2 linked regions of the Lytechinus pictus genome follow. The protein of the gene in region 2 binds, or shares a complex with, the protein of the main gene of each other region. Links are inferred from orthologs where the notes say so. Each region holds a gene or a part of one and is shown on either strand. Other genes may lie near its edges.

Evidence for each region.
Region 1: protein bicaudal D homolog 1-like (region 2) and lissencephaly-1 homolog share a complex: the UniProt entries of both Caenorhabditis elegans proteins name them as parts of the dynein-regulating complex. The link is inferred for Lytechinus pictus from reciprocal best matches to the Caenorhabditis elegans genes bicd-1 and lis-1.

The regions. Positions count from the first base shown.
Region 1 is NC_087246.1:17,018,673-17,027,035, reverse strand, and holds the start of lissencephaly-1 homolog, read left to right. Parts: upstream 1-4,773; 5' UTR 4,774-4,918; exon of another isoform or gene 4,919-5,421; intron 5,422-8,363. Other genes in the region: RNA N6-adenosine-methyltransferase mettl16-like, read right to left, coding at 295-562, 1,319-1,459, 2,417-2,772, 4,625-4,632. UniProt on the Caenorhabditis elegans protein: Positively regulates the activity of the minus-end directed microtubule motor protein dynein. May enhance dynein-mediated microtubule sliding by targeting dynein to the microtubule plus end.
Region 2 is NC_087247.1:56,905,275-56,913,256, reverse strand, and holds the start of protein bicaudal D homolog 1-like, read right to left. Parts: upstream 3,656-7,982; coding exon 3,425-3,655; intron 1-3,424. UniProt on the Caenorhabditis elegans protein: Part of a complex with dlc-1 and egal-1, which is recruited to the nuclear envelope by unc-83, where in turn, it recruits dynein to the nuclear surface and regulates nuclear migration in hypodermal precursor cells.

The DNA of each region.
Region 1 (8,363 bases), on a different chromosome or scaffold from region 2:
ATGTGCTGATACACTGCTGCACAATGCAAAAAAATACAAGATCAACAGTCATGACCAACAATGATGACAGACATAGATCTAGATCAGTTGCATCAATTGCATGTTCAGTCAAACCTGTAAACAAGAACCATCTGTCTATAAAGACCACAGATATTATTTCCCTTTACTAATTTTTCAAATTCTCAACATGTATCCATACAGACGACATGCTCATTAGATTGTTTTTCTTGTCTCCTGGGATAGTCTTAATACACATCCTTTTACTCTAATTTGAAAGCACACTTGGTGACTTACACAACTTGATGCCTAAGACGAAGACTCTCTTCGATCATCCTACGGACAAATTCTACCTCCCCTCCTTCCGAGATCATCTCCAGTTCGGCAGCAGTGCTCACTGACTTGGGCTCAGGTCGACTCATGCTGCGAGATGTCATAATTCCTTGCGCTTCCAGAGAATTGCCAAAGAAGGGTGGGTTGCACATCGTGAAGTGGTAGAGATGCTGTCTGGAGGGGGCGCTGTTCAATACATCTTCAAACATACTGCCTTCACATGTCTCCACAACTGTAGAAGCAAAAGAAATAGTCAAGTTGACATTGTGGCATCTTGACAATCAGCTATGACTACATTTTGACAGACTTAATGATAAAAAATCAGGTTAAAAATATCACCTGTAATTACAGTTTGGATTCAGGACTTACATACATAGTTGCTTGTCAGCATAAGACCGCATTTTCAAGAGCTTTTCAAGCAATACTTCACTGATTTAAGTAATGTCAGACAACATTACAAAGTCAAAAAATCTTCATAATCATATGTACTGATTGATACAGGTATCTTAAGGAAACCCCAGAAACAATGAGGATGTTTTATCTGCTTAAATGAACATCGAAACCCCTCCCATCCAACATGTGACTATCTTCAGGGCAACCAAGAAACCATACTAACACATGGTAGACAAGTCACATTTCTATAATCTTTTATATGATGAAAACACTGTGGTATGTTTTAAATGTTGTCCAATGATGAATTGGGGTGGGGAGGGGAGCCATGGTTCTTGGAAAACTTCCAAGGCAATTTGGAATTTGTGTTCAAATATAAATTTGTTGCCCTTTGGGTAAGGTGATCTCTAGGGAGACACTGAGGGAACTTGTTTCCATCAAGGGAGATGCTTTCTATGAAAATGTTCAATGGGCAATTTTATCTCAGGGGGAGTAACATATGACACCTTTCCACTCATAGTAAAGACTTGATTAGGTAGTTGGATCTCCTTAAAAAAAAAACAGACAATCAGAGGATAAATGAATGATCTATTATTACCTGTTATTTTATCCTGAAGTCCATTACTTGTGATGTTCTCCTTAGAATAATGAATAGCCAAGGCATCTACCTCTGATGCAATGAAGTTCCATCCGTTCAACTGAGCACCAAGTAATGGATATATACACGATGCACCACAACCTGGAATATTAAAAAAAAAACAATGATATCAGGCATTCTGTAGAGGTATACAGCTTTCATTACGTTAGGATTAATCTACTTCTACTCTTCAAATTGGCAACATTTTTCTTTCACTATACTTTTTAAAGAAAGAAATAGAGATATAACACAAGGAAAAATGAGTGATAATGGCAGAATTTCAAAAGTTGCCAATTTTCCATTTTTGAAGTGATTTTATTGTTTTCTTCACGTTGTAAATTCAGAGTGTGAACTGATTAAAATAAATTCATTTTACAGAAGAAAATGCAGAAGCATTGGTCAATCTAATCTAAGATGCAAGCTTTGATAATAATTGTTTTTACGCTGTACAACTGCATCAGACCAATTCATAACCATACAGAACAAAGTGTCTGTACATAACACAACGATGTAACATTGTGGGCAGATAAATTCAAGCAATAAAATTTAACAGCATCAGACAGTCAGGTACAGGTGGATCAACCATTTTGTATAAGACCTATATCAAATGGGTTTGTTTTAGCCAGTGGCCAAATTGTGATCAACTTAAATTTAAATGGCTTGCAATTGCTCCTGGAGATCATAAGTTGTTTGTCGAATTTCTTTTATAACATTGTACATCACTCCATAATAACTAGCAAGTAGCATTTTAGTAGTAGTAGTAATTTTATCCATACTGCATTATATAACAGCATTTACAAAGCAAAGGGCAACCAAATTTTAATTATAAAGAAGAAATAAAGAAAATACAGGAAATCAGGAAATGTTTTTAGGACTTTCTTCGAGTGATCTGTAAAGTTCATTGATTTGACGAAAGAGGGGATGTTCTTCTATTCTTTAGATGCGGTTACAGTAAATAAGTGATCGCCAGTGAGTCTTTGGAATGGCAAGCGAAAATGTGGGTGAGATGACTATCACCTGATTATTCATAGCGAAATAAAAGTTTGAGAAGATTCTCACCAATGTCAATGCCCCACACCGTCCCTTTGCTGTGGCCAGTCGATGCTAAGAGATCCTCTATCCAGTGAATGTAGTTGAGCCGTAGTGACAGGGTCGGGATGAGACGATCAAGAGGTAGCTCAACCTCTAGTCCAAAGTCTTCCTTCAGGAGCGTGCAGGTTAGTGACCTCAGCGACTCAGAATCATGGAAGTCAAGGGTCGCCTTGCCTGTTTGGTTCCTGATCACATGACGTGCAAACTCTGGATATTTCTTTGCTAATTCATCAAAGTTTGGTTTGTTGTCCCTATAGCGGTTGCGAGGGTGCATGAATTTGTTGAAGGCCATTATGCCTAACGTTAGATGTCTAGATCTAGATCTAAAAAAAATAAATAAAGGAAACACACGATAACAGGTATCAGAGTTGAGTTGGTACTGTAATAATAAAAAAAACATGCTTTAAAATGCATTTTGAAAAAAAAACTGTGTTACGCTTTTAGTTTGGTGGGGTAGACCTAAATATCTTGAATTATAATCCAGTATTATCCAACATTTTTTTTAATCTTTAAAAAAGTGTTTTGAATTTAACCGACACTTTTTTTTCTAAAAAAAGTGGCTGATTCTTTGTGAAAATTTTTGTTTGTTTAAAAATAACATCACTTATCTTACAAATTTATAGTTTGGAATAGACTACAAACATTTATTCTGAAATTTTCAGCCCATTCCAAGCATCTATTGTTGATTTAAGTTAGTTAGGCTAATAATGTCACCATTTTGGCGATAAAGCTATTTTTATAAATCCAGCCCACACACACAGTTAATTTTTAGGCATGCTTCACATGATAAAGGCCTAGTTACTAGTCAGATCTATGGCTATGCATTGCATGTATCATTTCAGTGCATAATACTAGGCATAGGCCATAGTAGACAGCTGGCAGCCGTCTGTTTCGAGGAGTTTTTTAACATTTTTTTTTTTTTTTTTTTCTCCTCATACACAGACGGCTCGCTAGCGTGCAGCCACCATTAGGGGACTTGCAATGCAAAATCCCCCCGTCGGGGCTCTTCAATTTTTGTCTTTAATGAGTAAAAATTTTGAAAATTCACGCGACCAAAATGCAAATTAATATTCCCTCTTGGCATCAATTGCCAAAAAACTGAGAAAAATCAAGTTAAAAGGAACAAAAACAGTGACTTACCTCGGCTGTCGCGCAAATTCACTTCCCCGTTTTATCCGATCTTAAGTACATAAACATATGGCCATTGAGTCCCCTGTACAGATCGCGCTAGAACTTCGGTCTCTGTATTTGGTTAGTGAAGCCCGGGGGGGCCACTTACATTGACGAGTGGATACCATGCGCGACCAAAAAAACACGTAAAAAGGATGTCTTTTTCACGATAGGGCACGTTACGTACGTAACGTGATAAGGGTGTCAAAAACGCAATAATAATGAAAAAAGGGTATCTATTTCGCTAGGACAATTACGTGTTTAGGGTCGAATTTGCGGGGATGATAAAACAAAATTAAAATGTTTTATAAAGGATGTCCTTTTGGCCCCAACACTTCGTGTTTAGAGTCCGATTTGCGCGAGGTGTAGAAGGTGGGGTCGTACTAAACCAAATGAGGTAAAGCTGACGACCGAAGGACCCGTAACAATAAAACATTCCTGTACTTGTTTAGGGGTTCATTTCAGGGAATATTTGCCATGATCTCGTTTTGTTTCCAATACTTGTTAAGGGTAGGGTTTCACACGCCAATACTTGTTAAGGGGTGCATTTTCAGATTATGGAAATTACGTGTTTAGGGTGCTTTTTGAGACCCCATGGTCGCGCATGGTATCCACTCGTGAATGGAAGTGGCCCCCCTGGGTAGTGAAGCCAACGGAGTTCAGCTGAACAACCAACATAACAGAGACCGAAGCTTTTTAGTGAAGCCAACGGAGTTCAGCTGAACAACCAACATAACAGAGACCGAAGCTTTTGGTCTAAGGCCATAGCGGGTGCACATGCATATCTTATCAATACCGCGGCCGCGCCGCCGTGCCCGTGGCTGGCTAAAAATCGGCATTCATGTCCAAGGTAAATAAACGTCCTCAAATTTAGCAGTAATAACCGGTCACTTCAAAATACAAGAACACGCAAATTATCGGTAATATACACGTTTAGACGATACCTGATAGTGCTTTGAATAATGAGACAGCTTAAGTAATACTGAAAAATAATGGTATTAATACAATATCATTCTATAGATCAATAAAAATGCAATAAGAAACAGCCCAAATTACTGTTGATTTCCGAGTAGTTGCTGCTGCAGACGACGAAGAGACTTAGAAACTGCGCACAAGTTTTCTGCGCATGATATTGCAGACAAGTATCGAAAGGGATTCTGGGTAATTTTTCAACGTGTAGCAAATATATGTGAGTCGGAAATACAGCAACAATATGCGTTGCGAGAAAAATACTTCGAACCAACGGACGAATACCGGTTTATATACTTGATGTTTGGTTGTTAAGTTCTTTATTTTTCGGTGAGCGTTCTATTTTCATTGGAAATCTATAGAATTCGATTCTACATCTAAATAGTTCGCAATTTGGTTGTGTGCTAGGATATGTGTGAAGGAGAAGGTGTAACGTTAGTGCTGGGCAAATGTGCATTCCCATTCCGTAGGCGTTGACATTTGTTGTGCATATTCTGGCCAATGCATGCAGTGCAGTGCATGAGCTGAGTTGAGTGAGAGTGACGTGAGTGAGTGCAGAGACAGAGTTAGAAGGGAGCGCAACATTGCAAGCCAGGCCCAGTAGCAGTGCAGTCATGGAAGTGGTAGCTTCTGCAGTTCTTTACAACTACTGTAAAACTAAAAGTGGAAATTTTTGCGGCAAGATGAAGATCGGCGAGCACGAATTTATGAGCATCTAATCTATTTTAATGCAAGTTTTGAACCGCGGTTCAATTGTGTGTATCGTTTTGGCAAAGAGATTGCACAATTTGATTTTGACCTAGGCCCTATAACTTGTTAGATCTTGTATAGAGGGCGACATTTAAGCAAGTAAGCTTGAGCTCCAAAATCGATCACAAATAAAAAGACATGCACGCCATTGCGAGAATTTGTTCCAAAGCATTGAGATAATTTTTTCAATAGTCGCAGATCAGTATTTAAATTATGATTTTGGAATTTGGTTGAAATATAAATTGCTTTTGCTGTGCGAGATTGGTGAGTGTTAAGATCTGTTTAGTTTTTAAGAAGACGTTGGGTCGATCACCCAGGTTTGTTGATTGAACCCATGCACTTTGAATAGCCGTAATCCCCCTGGTCCTTTATATTATAGGTGCTCGGCCGTCCATACCAGGCCAGCAGTGCCTCCGTTTTGCCTTCCCCGAGTCCACCCTGCAAAGAAATGTTGCGCTAAATGTCACAAAAGCTCATGATTGGATCAAAACAATGCTGAATTACGCCGCTTTAGAGCTAGAATTATGATCAGAATATACAATTTCGTCGCTGAAATGTTAATTAAAACCATTTACAGATGGGGAAGAAGGAAGTGACTTTGGATTATGGAGAGTGCAGCGCAAATTCAAGAACTTGCGAATATTTTTTGAAGCCGCCAAGCGTGAAAAATTAATTCGCGAAAATAAGAGCGTTTACAGTACAGAAGGGTTAAGGTCCAATGACTAAATGGGCCAGGCCTGCTAGCTAGATCTAGTCTAGTCTTGAGGACTCCATGATGATGTTTTTTTTAAATATTTTGACATATTCATCATGGAGTCTTGAATCCCCATCCATATAAGAGACACATGTACACAAAGATGGATTTCCCAAGGAAATCCATAGTTAGAGGGTGAAATCGGTTTGTATTGTCCAATTTTATTTATGAACCTTCAGGCGCCTAATGCGTATAAAGGGATAAAAATTATTTCACTATAAATGGTAAAAATGAGATGTTTCTTACCAGACCCGATCTCCCGTGGATCCCTCGATCCGTTTGTCAACAAAGCAAAGACAATAGACTTGACCCTTGAACCGCTTCGTGATGACGTACTTCCGACTAGCGATGCCGTCTTGAAGAACAATTTATAGATAAAAATTATTATTTCACAAATACTAAAATTTAATACGTGATTATAAATAATAAGTAGCATCTAGGGAAAGTGATTTCTGTGTAAAAAAATTGCCTTTTCCTTTTCAGAAAATCTTAAAATCCGTTTCAGCATGTTTGAAAAATGGAAATTCCGTTGGAGTAGCAATGTCACAGTACTCGGGCTGGTCAGAATTTGTATCCGCCACTAACAACGCTTTGGAATCCACTCTAATCTGATCTATACAAACACAAAACAATTTTAAGAAACACATTTAATATGAATACATCCTAACCTTTCACATTATTAGCATTATTTAAGGGTTGAATGAAATTTTATTGATAATGTGGGGATTTTTGGACATCGTTTTGAGCAGTCGACGACTATTGCCTATCTGCCATTTTGTATTTGAGGAGTACCACGTTCGTGCTGTTACATCACCGAACTAGAGGGTAGCAACACGAACGTGTGTTGCTGCCTACTACGTACGTTGGTTATAATCAAACAATGTTTGGTCGCTTATTTCAGCTTGGGCTTGCGTTTGACCCGCTTGTACAATGTATTTTTGATGTATGATCAAGTGATGGAGTCAAGTGCAGTCACGATGTGTGGATTGTCATGATTGTAGCGAAGTGAGATCGTGTTTTGTGGCCAGTTAGTATTTGTATTTTGTTGAGATTTTGGAGTAATTTCTGTTGCTGTTCTATGCATTTTGAGTAAAGATATGTTTTCTGTGATTTTCAATTTGAAAAGCCACTTTCCGTTTCAAAAGGCAATTTTCAAAAAATCACTGTCCCTTGTAGCATGATCACAGATTTAAGTACAGCACGTCCCCCCAAAAAATGTCCCTCTGACATAGGGCTGAAGTAATTCCAAAATGTAGTATTTTTAATCAAAGGTACATGAGTAGAAAGCTTATTTCATAATCTAACTTCTTGAAAATGTCATTGGTCTCGCTTCAGCGGTTTTGAATACATACACTGTTACACAACAGTAGTGCATTTCAGGCCATTCCAAGTTTGCAACACTGCTGTATTTCTGCATTGTCTTTAACATGTTAACCTCCACTTAAATACTATCCAGGATTTGAGCAGGGACATTTTCCTGATCAATCCTGGCTCATCAAATCATAAACTTGAGCATGTGCAGAAGGGTAATAACCATCAAAAAAGAAGTTTTTATGATTGATAGGCGATCAGTGCACCAACTTGAAGGAAATTGTGAATATTGGATAATCATGGATGGATATGAATGACGGATAATTACAATAAGCTGAACTATGATGAAGAGCAAACCACAAGTGTATCACACCTTGTGAAAGCGAACATTACTTGTGAAAATATTTTTTTTTTTAATTCAAAAAGGTACAGTGAATTCATTGTTTTAATGATAAAAAAGAATTAAATCAAGAATGCATTATTGTTGGAATTAGGCATGAAATACATTATCAAACACAATTAATTGTCAAGTACTCTTGTCGCCCTTCTTAACCTGCACAAGGTTGTAATTTGATGAGCCTGGCTAGATCATGGAGATTTCCTGGTCAGCTCAGGGAATTCCCTGATCAGATTCTGAATGATCAAAGGGGGTTGATATGCTAGGCAGTGCAGAACCAGCAGTGGTAGCAGTGCTGTATGTATGCGAACTTGGAATGGGCTGAAAAGCACCATTGTTACATAATAGACTGTGTATTCAAAACTGCTGAAGCGAGATATACATGTAGAAGTAAGGACTTGAGATGAGTTTCCTATTACCATACATTTGATTTGAATAATTTTCAATTTTTAATTAATTCAGCCGTATATAATCAGAGGGACATTTTTGGGGACACGCTGTATGGTTATCCCTACGATGATTTAGAATTTTACGCAGTAAGATGTTCTGTATGCCTCAATATT
Region 2 (7,982 bases):
CCCTAAACTCGAGTGAAGGCTTTGCACAGCAGACAAGGGCAAACCCTTCACTCAAGGAAAGTGGTCTGAATAAGCAGCCTAAGGTTTCTGCCAATGACTTGTGTACAGGAGGTCCTTTTGTTCAACAGAAAGTTGTATTCGTGCTAGTCTTGTGTGAAGTCTCACTTGTGGATCAACGTTTCAATAAGGGTCTGTGCATGCAGACTACATGTAGGGGGCAATGTTCTCTTAATAACATGCTATTATATAATGGCAGGTTCTCACATAAAAAACAATAACATTTAAAGACAAATGAAAAAAAAGTGTAATGCAAAGTATTATTTTTTTCATGTTGAATTGAAAAGCTTCATTTTGTACATAATGCTCCATCATGTTACTACATATACCGGGTACATGTACTATAATGTATTTATGTACAGTTTGATGAATATTTTATACCCTAGGCAATTTAAAAAATGAAGAATAGTAAAAATACAAATGGAAAATATGATATTTTAGGATATCAATTTATAATTTTGCATTTAAAAAGAGAATTTATCACTTTTTGTGAAAAAATGAAAATTCCTGAAAATTCCCGAAACTTTAAATGGAAATTTTCCAAAATTTCCGGAAAGTTTCCAGTCCTTTGCAACCCTATTCACCTCCCTGTTTTATCCGAACTTATATACATAAACATATGGCCATTGAGTCCCCTGTACAGATCGCGCTAGAACTTCGGTCTCTGTATTTGGTGAGTGAAGCCAACGGAGTTCAGCTGAACAACCAACATAACAGAGACCGAAGCTTTTGGTCTAATTTCTTCATTGCCATGTATATTTCAGTTATTAATGAGTTCATTCTCACCAAATTTAGACTCCCCCATAGAGAAATGCGATTTTCGTGGAGATCTGCATTTTCAAAGAACTTCAGGAAAAGTTAGGGTATGTGGGCCTTTATTACATGGCCGAGTACAGGTTATTGTACTGGAATAGATGGAGTAGAAATTAGATATTGAATTCATTTATATCCAAGTTCAACTCACAGTCACACCCACATCCAAGATTCTAAGCATGAAAAAACTAACTTAAAAAGTCATACAATATTAAAACTCATTAATAAGTGAACTGTCAAAAAACCTGGACTCACAATGCAGACTTCATGTTACCGCGTTCGCACTCATTTTTTCCCCTGAAAATTTTGCGCGATCTTTTCTTTAACACTACAACGCATTTGATTGGATTAAATACAGTACGGTAGATGCAGAGTGGGACATGTGGGAGGAGCTACATGTAGCCTGGAGGCGTCTGGGGAGTAAAAGTCATCTACTCTACGTAGGCTTACTCCCCACTTACGCCTGGGACGCCAAGGTATATTCACGCAAGTACGGCCACAAAACCTGAAACTTTCGCCCCCGAGATTTCTACTTTCCCTCTAAAAGATCTAGCCCTAAAACATGTACATGGAGTTCAACATTTCTGCGATATCGATTTTGGTTTTAAAGAAGAATTCAATAAAAAAACAAGAAAAATGTTATGAAAAGATGGGAAGAGCTTACGGCCGTCTTTAGGTCGCCATCTTGATTTCTTTGTCTTCCGCTTGGCGACAGCACGCAAATTGCGCTGTCGCCAAGCGGAAGACAAAGAAATCAAGATGGCGACGTAAACACGGCCGTCAGCACTTCCCATCTTTTCATAACATTTTTCTCGTTTTTTTATTGAATTCTTCTTTAAAAACAAAATCGATATCACAGAAATGTTGGAAATGAAGTTGAACCCCATGTATAGTCACGTATAGACAGGAATAACCGTCGTTTCTGGGGATTTATTCAACAATTTCTGACATTTTACTATAATCCCCATTTGTGAGTGAGCCAACGCAGTTCAGCGGAACAACCAAAATACAGAGACTGAAGCTTTTGGTCTAAGTCACGTATTGTATTACCGGACACTATTATGTTACCGGACGCGCGTATCACTGCGTTCTAAAACAAATTCGTACCGTAAGACTTCCGCAATTCAATTTCACAGAGCAATACATAGAACAAGATTGCAAAAACAAGGCGAAAAATCAAACTTTTACCTAATTATCTCTAAAAATTACAGAAAATGCTTAAAATATCATATAACATAGTTTTGTATTAACAATTGATATATTTTCTAACGGAAATATGGTCCTGATTTGCCGAATTTCAATCTCGTCCACTCCTTCGATCGAATGATGAGGTGTGGTGTATTGTGGGTGATCGTCGACGGCTAGTTCTCAAGGTACCCGTGCGCGAGGTTTACCGTGAGTAGAGCCGTCGATTGGCAGCGCATCGATAGAACTTGATGAGCGTCACGATACGAACGCGAGCATATTATTATTGGAAAGTGCCATGGAACATGCAGCTAACAAGACAAAATAAAATAAGTTATCAAACACGAATTTATTACCAACATCTGCTCAGATTCGATATAAAAAAAGCAAATAATACTTAGAATTTACTCATGATATGATATAAGAAAAAAATCACAAAAATTTGTTCTTACATCATTATAATCAAGGATATCTTTACCCGTCCGGCGCGCGTCCGGAATCATGATGTAATTTGTCGCGCACAAAAATAATTGTTTTTTGTGGAGGGGTATGCGACAAGTGCGATGCAAAGAAAACGGTTGGTAAATATAAAATAATTTTATCATATTCATAATTTTCATATTTGGAATAGCAAGTGTGAATTTTTCTTGATTGTATTTCCTCTAGTTGTCATTTTTAAAGCACTGAAATAAAGGTGTCCGGCAATGCCAATAGCCTAGGATACACTGCCATACATGTTTTACTTAGGGCTAGATCTTTTTTTTTTTAGAGGGAAAGTAGAAATCTCGGGAGCCAAAGTTTCAGGTTTTGTGGCCGTACGTGCGTGAATATACCTTGGCGTCCCAGGCGTCAGTGGGGAGTAAGCCTACGGCTACGTAGAGTAGATGACTTATACTTCCCCAGACGCCTCCAGGCTAGGACTCTACTAGGACTCGGAGTAGGAGCAAGGAGCTGAAGATAACACGAAATGATGATAACAACATGGTTATCAGAATACCGATTTGGGGGTATGTTAGGGGCGTGTTAAATCAGAGACATAACAACGATATTTAACACCAAAGTTAACACGATTTTCAGAATACCGCCCCACTACTAGTAGTAGGATGGGGGATCGGGTGTCCGGACACTTTATATTTTTGAAGCCTTCTTTTTTGTCATTGGATTACACTACAAATACGAAATCAATAGTTGTAATCATCTTCTATTTTGTTCTCTATAATATTTCCTGACATTTTGTACTAAAAATTGATAAAACTTTCCTTGTAAATTTTTCCAAATGACTTTCTAAAATTGATCGTCCGGACACACAACCTGTCCGGACACACAACAACTGGGTATACACTACTAGTACTACTAGGCCAGGGCCTACCTCTTTTGCCATCTGAAGCTCCTGTTTACAAGTTTCATAGAGTAAATCAAGGTCTTCATATTGCTGCTTTATTGCCTGCTTTTCTTCAAGAACAACTAAACCGTATTCAGCAGCCTGTATTTTCTCTCTGCTGGCCAAAGCGAGTTCCTCTTTCAAACGGCTGATTTCAACCCGTAACTCTTCGATGGTTTCCGAACCATCGTCCGAGTCGAACATGGCGAATGACTGCATTTTCAACAGCAAGTGATACCGGTAATGTTGGACTTGGAGCCGGCTAGACTCGGGTGGCCTGCACTCCTTGGCTCTGTGGTGACAATACCACTCGAGTTTCACAGTCGATCCACAAGGTTAATGACGAATCCAGCGTCCTGGACTTCACCCGTTTTCATCCTTGAATTTTGGAGATCATTGTGCTTCTTATAAAAAACAACACCGATGCTGAAAAGGTGAAATTTGAAGGTTTCTTAGTCCTGGGTCTATGGTACAATCGCAGACTCGCGACAATGCAACATACGGGAATGTAGTGAACGTTTCCTACGCGCGCGCATTATGCATTTGATTTATAGCGCAATATGCGCTAGCGCCAGGAAACTCTGCATGAGTCGGTTTTGTATTAGCAAAGATCGGGGGCGTATCCGCCCAGAGATTCCGAACTAGCTCAAAACCACATCTCTATGCTCAAAACTGAGCAAGCGCATCGCATCCGTACGTTTTCTCTCTGGTCATCGATATCGTATCTGTACGGTATGCCGTATACACGGTATCTGGAGCTGGAGTTCACCCCGCGTGCGTCTGCGCCATGGGCCATAGGTTTGCGCATGCATATAAGTGGGCGTGGGCGTGTCCTTAAAAGCCGTAAGTGGTACAATTTTAACGTTAGATATCTACTTTTTATGAAAAATAAATTAATGAGGAATAAAACAAAAATATGATGGGGCAAACCCCTCAAAGCAGCGTCCTTATTCGATAGCTCCTCTGAGATTGAATGTTCGAACAGTTTTTCCTCTCTACTTGAGGACAAGTCTCCCTTCTTCGCACCAATTGCTATATGTCCTCACCAACGAGTACGAGTGGTGACAAACCTTCACCTTCTCGTAAGAAGTCCCCGCAATCTGGTAATAGGAAACTGAGAGCTGTAGTCATCAATTTCCAAGGTCTCAGAAGCAAAGTCGAACCCCTATCCAATCTTATAAATTCTGTTCATCCAGATATAATATTTGGAACTGAAACTTGGGGAAATGATACTATTTCTAACTCTGAGCTTTTTCTAACACATCTTGATACGTATGGCGGAAAGACCGCAATGATGGTCATGGAGGTGTCCTCATTGCAGTTAGGAAAACGCTGCTCGCAGTAGCTCTTCCTGAATATGACGCTGATTGCGAAGTACTTTTGGACTAAGCTGAGGTCCCATGGCCAGAAAGATGTATATCTCGGAGTGTTTTACAACCCCATTATATAATGATCCTAATATGGCCTCCCTGGGCTTGAAGTTTCCTTGGGTAAACTTCCTCCTGATGCTTACAAGGTACTTGCTGGTGATTTTAACATGCCGGACATTGATTGGGACTCTGATTCAGTCAAGCCTTGCCCTGCAAGAGTCTACAAAAGTAGTACCCAACCATGCACCCTTCTTCTTGATATTGCTAGCCACCATAATCTCCAACAGGTCGTGAACTTCCCAACGAGACAACAGCATATGCTAGATCTTTTATTTACTACTAATCCTACATTGATTGACTCTGTTAAGCCGATTCCAGGGATCAGCGATCATGATTCTGTTGTTCAGATTGACTTCACTGGTACTGTCAAACATCAAAAAAGTAAAGCTCACAGAGTCTACAATTATAAGAAGGCAAACTTTGATAAGATCAGAACTGAGCTTTAGTCCTTTTCTGAAGAATTCTTCATCAACAGTCCTGGTACCAAGTCTGTCAATTTGAACTGGGAATCATTGACATGTAAATTGACATACCTAAAAGAGAAGTATATCCCTAGTAAGATGAGCAGTACTAGATTCAACCTGCCTTACATCACTAGGGAAATTAAGAGCAAGATCAGACAGAAGCATCGTGTATATAACCGTGCTCTCAAAAGTCAATCTCAGGAAGATTCCCAGTGAGCAAAATATATGGGGCCCATATGGGTTACTTGTGGGCTTATCAGGGCTAAAAATGTGGGCCCCATATGGGTTGCCAATGTGGGCTATGTATGGGCCCATCTGGGCCCCTTGTGTTTTTTGCACCGTACACCCCGTCTGGGGCCCATATGGGCCAGGGTTTCGCGTGGGGTAAATATGGGCAGGCCCACATCGTACCCATGTAAACCATATGGGGCCCATTTGGGCTATGTATGGCCCCACTTGGCCAATCTGGGACCCATATGTACACCCTATGTGGGGCCCATTTGGGCCAAGTGGGTTTAGTGTGGGTTGAATATGGGCAGGCCCACATTGCTCCCATATGGGCCCCATATGGATTTCCCATGTGGGCTATGTATGGCCCCACTTGGCCCATCTGGGACCCATGTGTTTTTTGCACCGTACACCCCGTCTGGGGCCCATATGGGCCAGGGTTTCGCGTGGGGTAAATATGGGCAGGCCCACATCGTACCCATGTAAACCATATGGGACCCATTTGGGCTATGTATGGCCCCACTTGGCCAATCTGGGACCCATATGTACACCCTATGTGGGGCCCATTTGGGCCAAGTGGGTTTAGTGTGGGTTGAATATGGGCAGGCCCACATTGCTCCCATATGGGCCCCATATGAAAACAATACTGTGTTTTTATATGGGTCCCATGTGGGCCATGTGGGTCCACGATGTTTTAATCAATTAAAAAAAATATATTAATTTGTATCATTAAGGTGACTTTCTATACAACCCAATACTCTAATCCTTATCATTTTATCATATCCTATAATCCTACATTCTAACCCTAAATCCTAATCCTATCCTATCCTACACCTAACCACTGAATCTTGTTATTGACTTCTATATATAGAGCGAGTTTGCTATACTTGACAGGCTATGGTTAATAACAATTTTCAATATTTAACCTTGAAAATTTTCTCCTGAAATTAAATGTTTTGATTTTTAATTTCATGGTAATAAATTACATACTTTTCTGAAACTTTTCATGGTGGAATCCTTGCTTAAACATAAACATATTAATTGTTGTAGCCGTATTAGCTAAAATTTTGATCATTTACTGTTGTAATGAATATTCATGAGTGCAGTCCAGATCGATCATCCAGAGATATTGAGCTCAGATGTGACCCATCTGGGTCCCAGAAGGCTTATCTGGTACATATGGGCCCAGATATAACCCAGATGGGTCCCACATATTTTAGCCCATCTGGGTCCCACTTGGAAATGCCCATCTCCAGCCCAGATGATATTCATCTGGTACATATGGGCCCAGATATAACCCAGATGGGCCCCATGTGGACCTACCCACTTCTAGCCCATATGGTTTCCATATGGGCCATATGGGTCCCAGATAACCCACATTGGACCCATATGGGTCCCAGATATTTTGCTATCTGGGCGTGTTCTCCTTTGAAAATTCAAAATTTTTCTTTATTTTAAGATGCACGATTAGAACCTAACCTGTGAATTGTAAGATCACAAACATTTTTTTTTATCCGTAAGCTATTTATCATCAATCGAATTAGCCGTATACATAGGCCCGGTACATAGGGTACCCGATAAATCCCTAAAATCAACACTAAACATGTGATTTCTAGAAAAGGCAGGCATTCCAAAGCGAACTTTTATGGGGTTGAGTTCTCATCATAAGTGTATCAAAAAATGTGAAAATGAAGAAAATCTTTTTTTTTCTTCTTCTTTCCCCCCCCCCCTTTTTTTACCCCTTCGAGATTTACCAACAATGTGAAATATACCTTGATTACTATCTATGTCGAGCTTTAAAATACATGATCGGATTTTAGTGTCAAGTAACAAATGCAAAGGCTAAGCCTAACCTACTAATTAACATTTATCAATCAAACATGAAAATAAAGAACGGATTTTGTCAAAAGCTAGAAATATCTATGAAAGATATAGGTTATTCTCATATTTGGGAAAACCTAAATGACCTAAACGACATCAAGTTAAATCAGTGGGTACAGTTTCAGGAAGATAGATACTGGAAGAGAATTATTGTAGTAAACTGAGAACGTATATAAAGACCTTAAACGTAGGCCCTACATAGAGAAATATTTATAACTAGACATTGATAATCTATAAGTTAGGAATTATTTGAAGATAAGAATTAGCAATTGTAAATTTATGAATGAACAAGGGCGACAAAAACAACTAGAAATCAATCAACGTACTCGCGCCCATCCTTAACCCGCAACAAGAAAAATTATGATAATAGGCCTATACCATAGTGCCGTCATTTAGAGAACTGAGCGAATCAGGTTACTTCTTGTACATCATGCAAATAAAAGTAATGATTACGATATAAGTAAAATTAATGTAACTAAATAATATGAGTAATTATAATGACGGACTATGATACACTCGTGTTAATAGATGACGCCATGGACG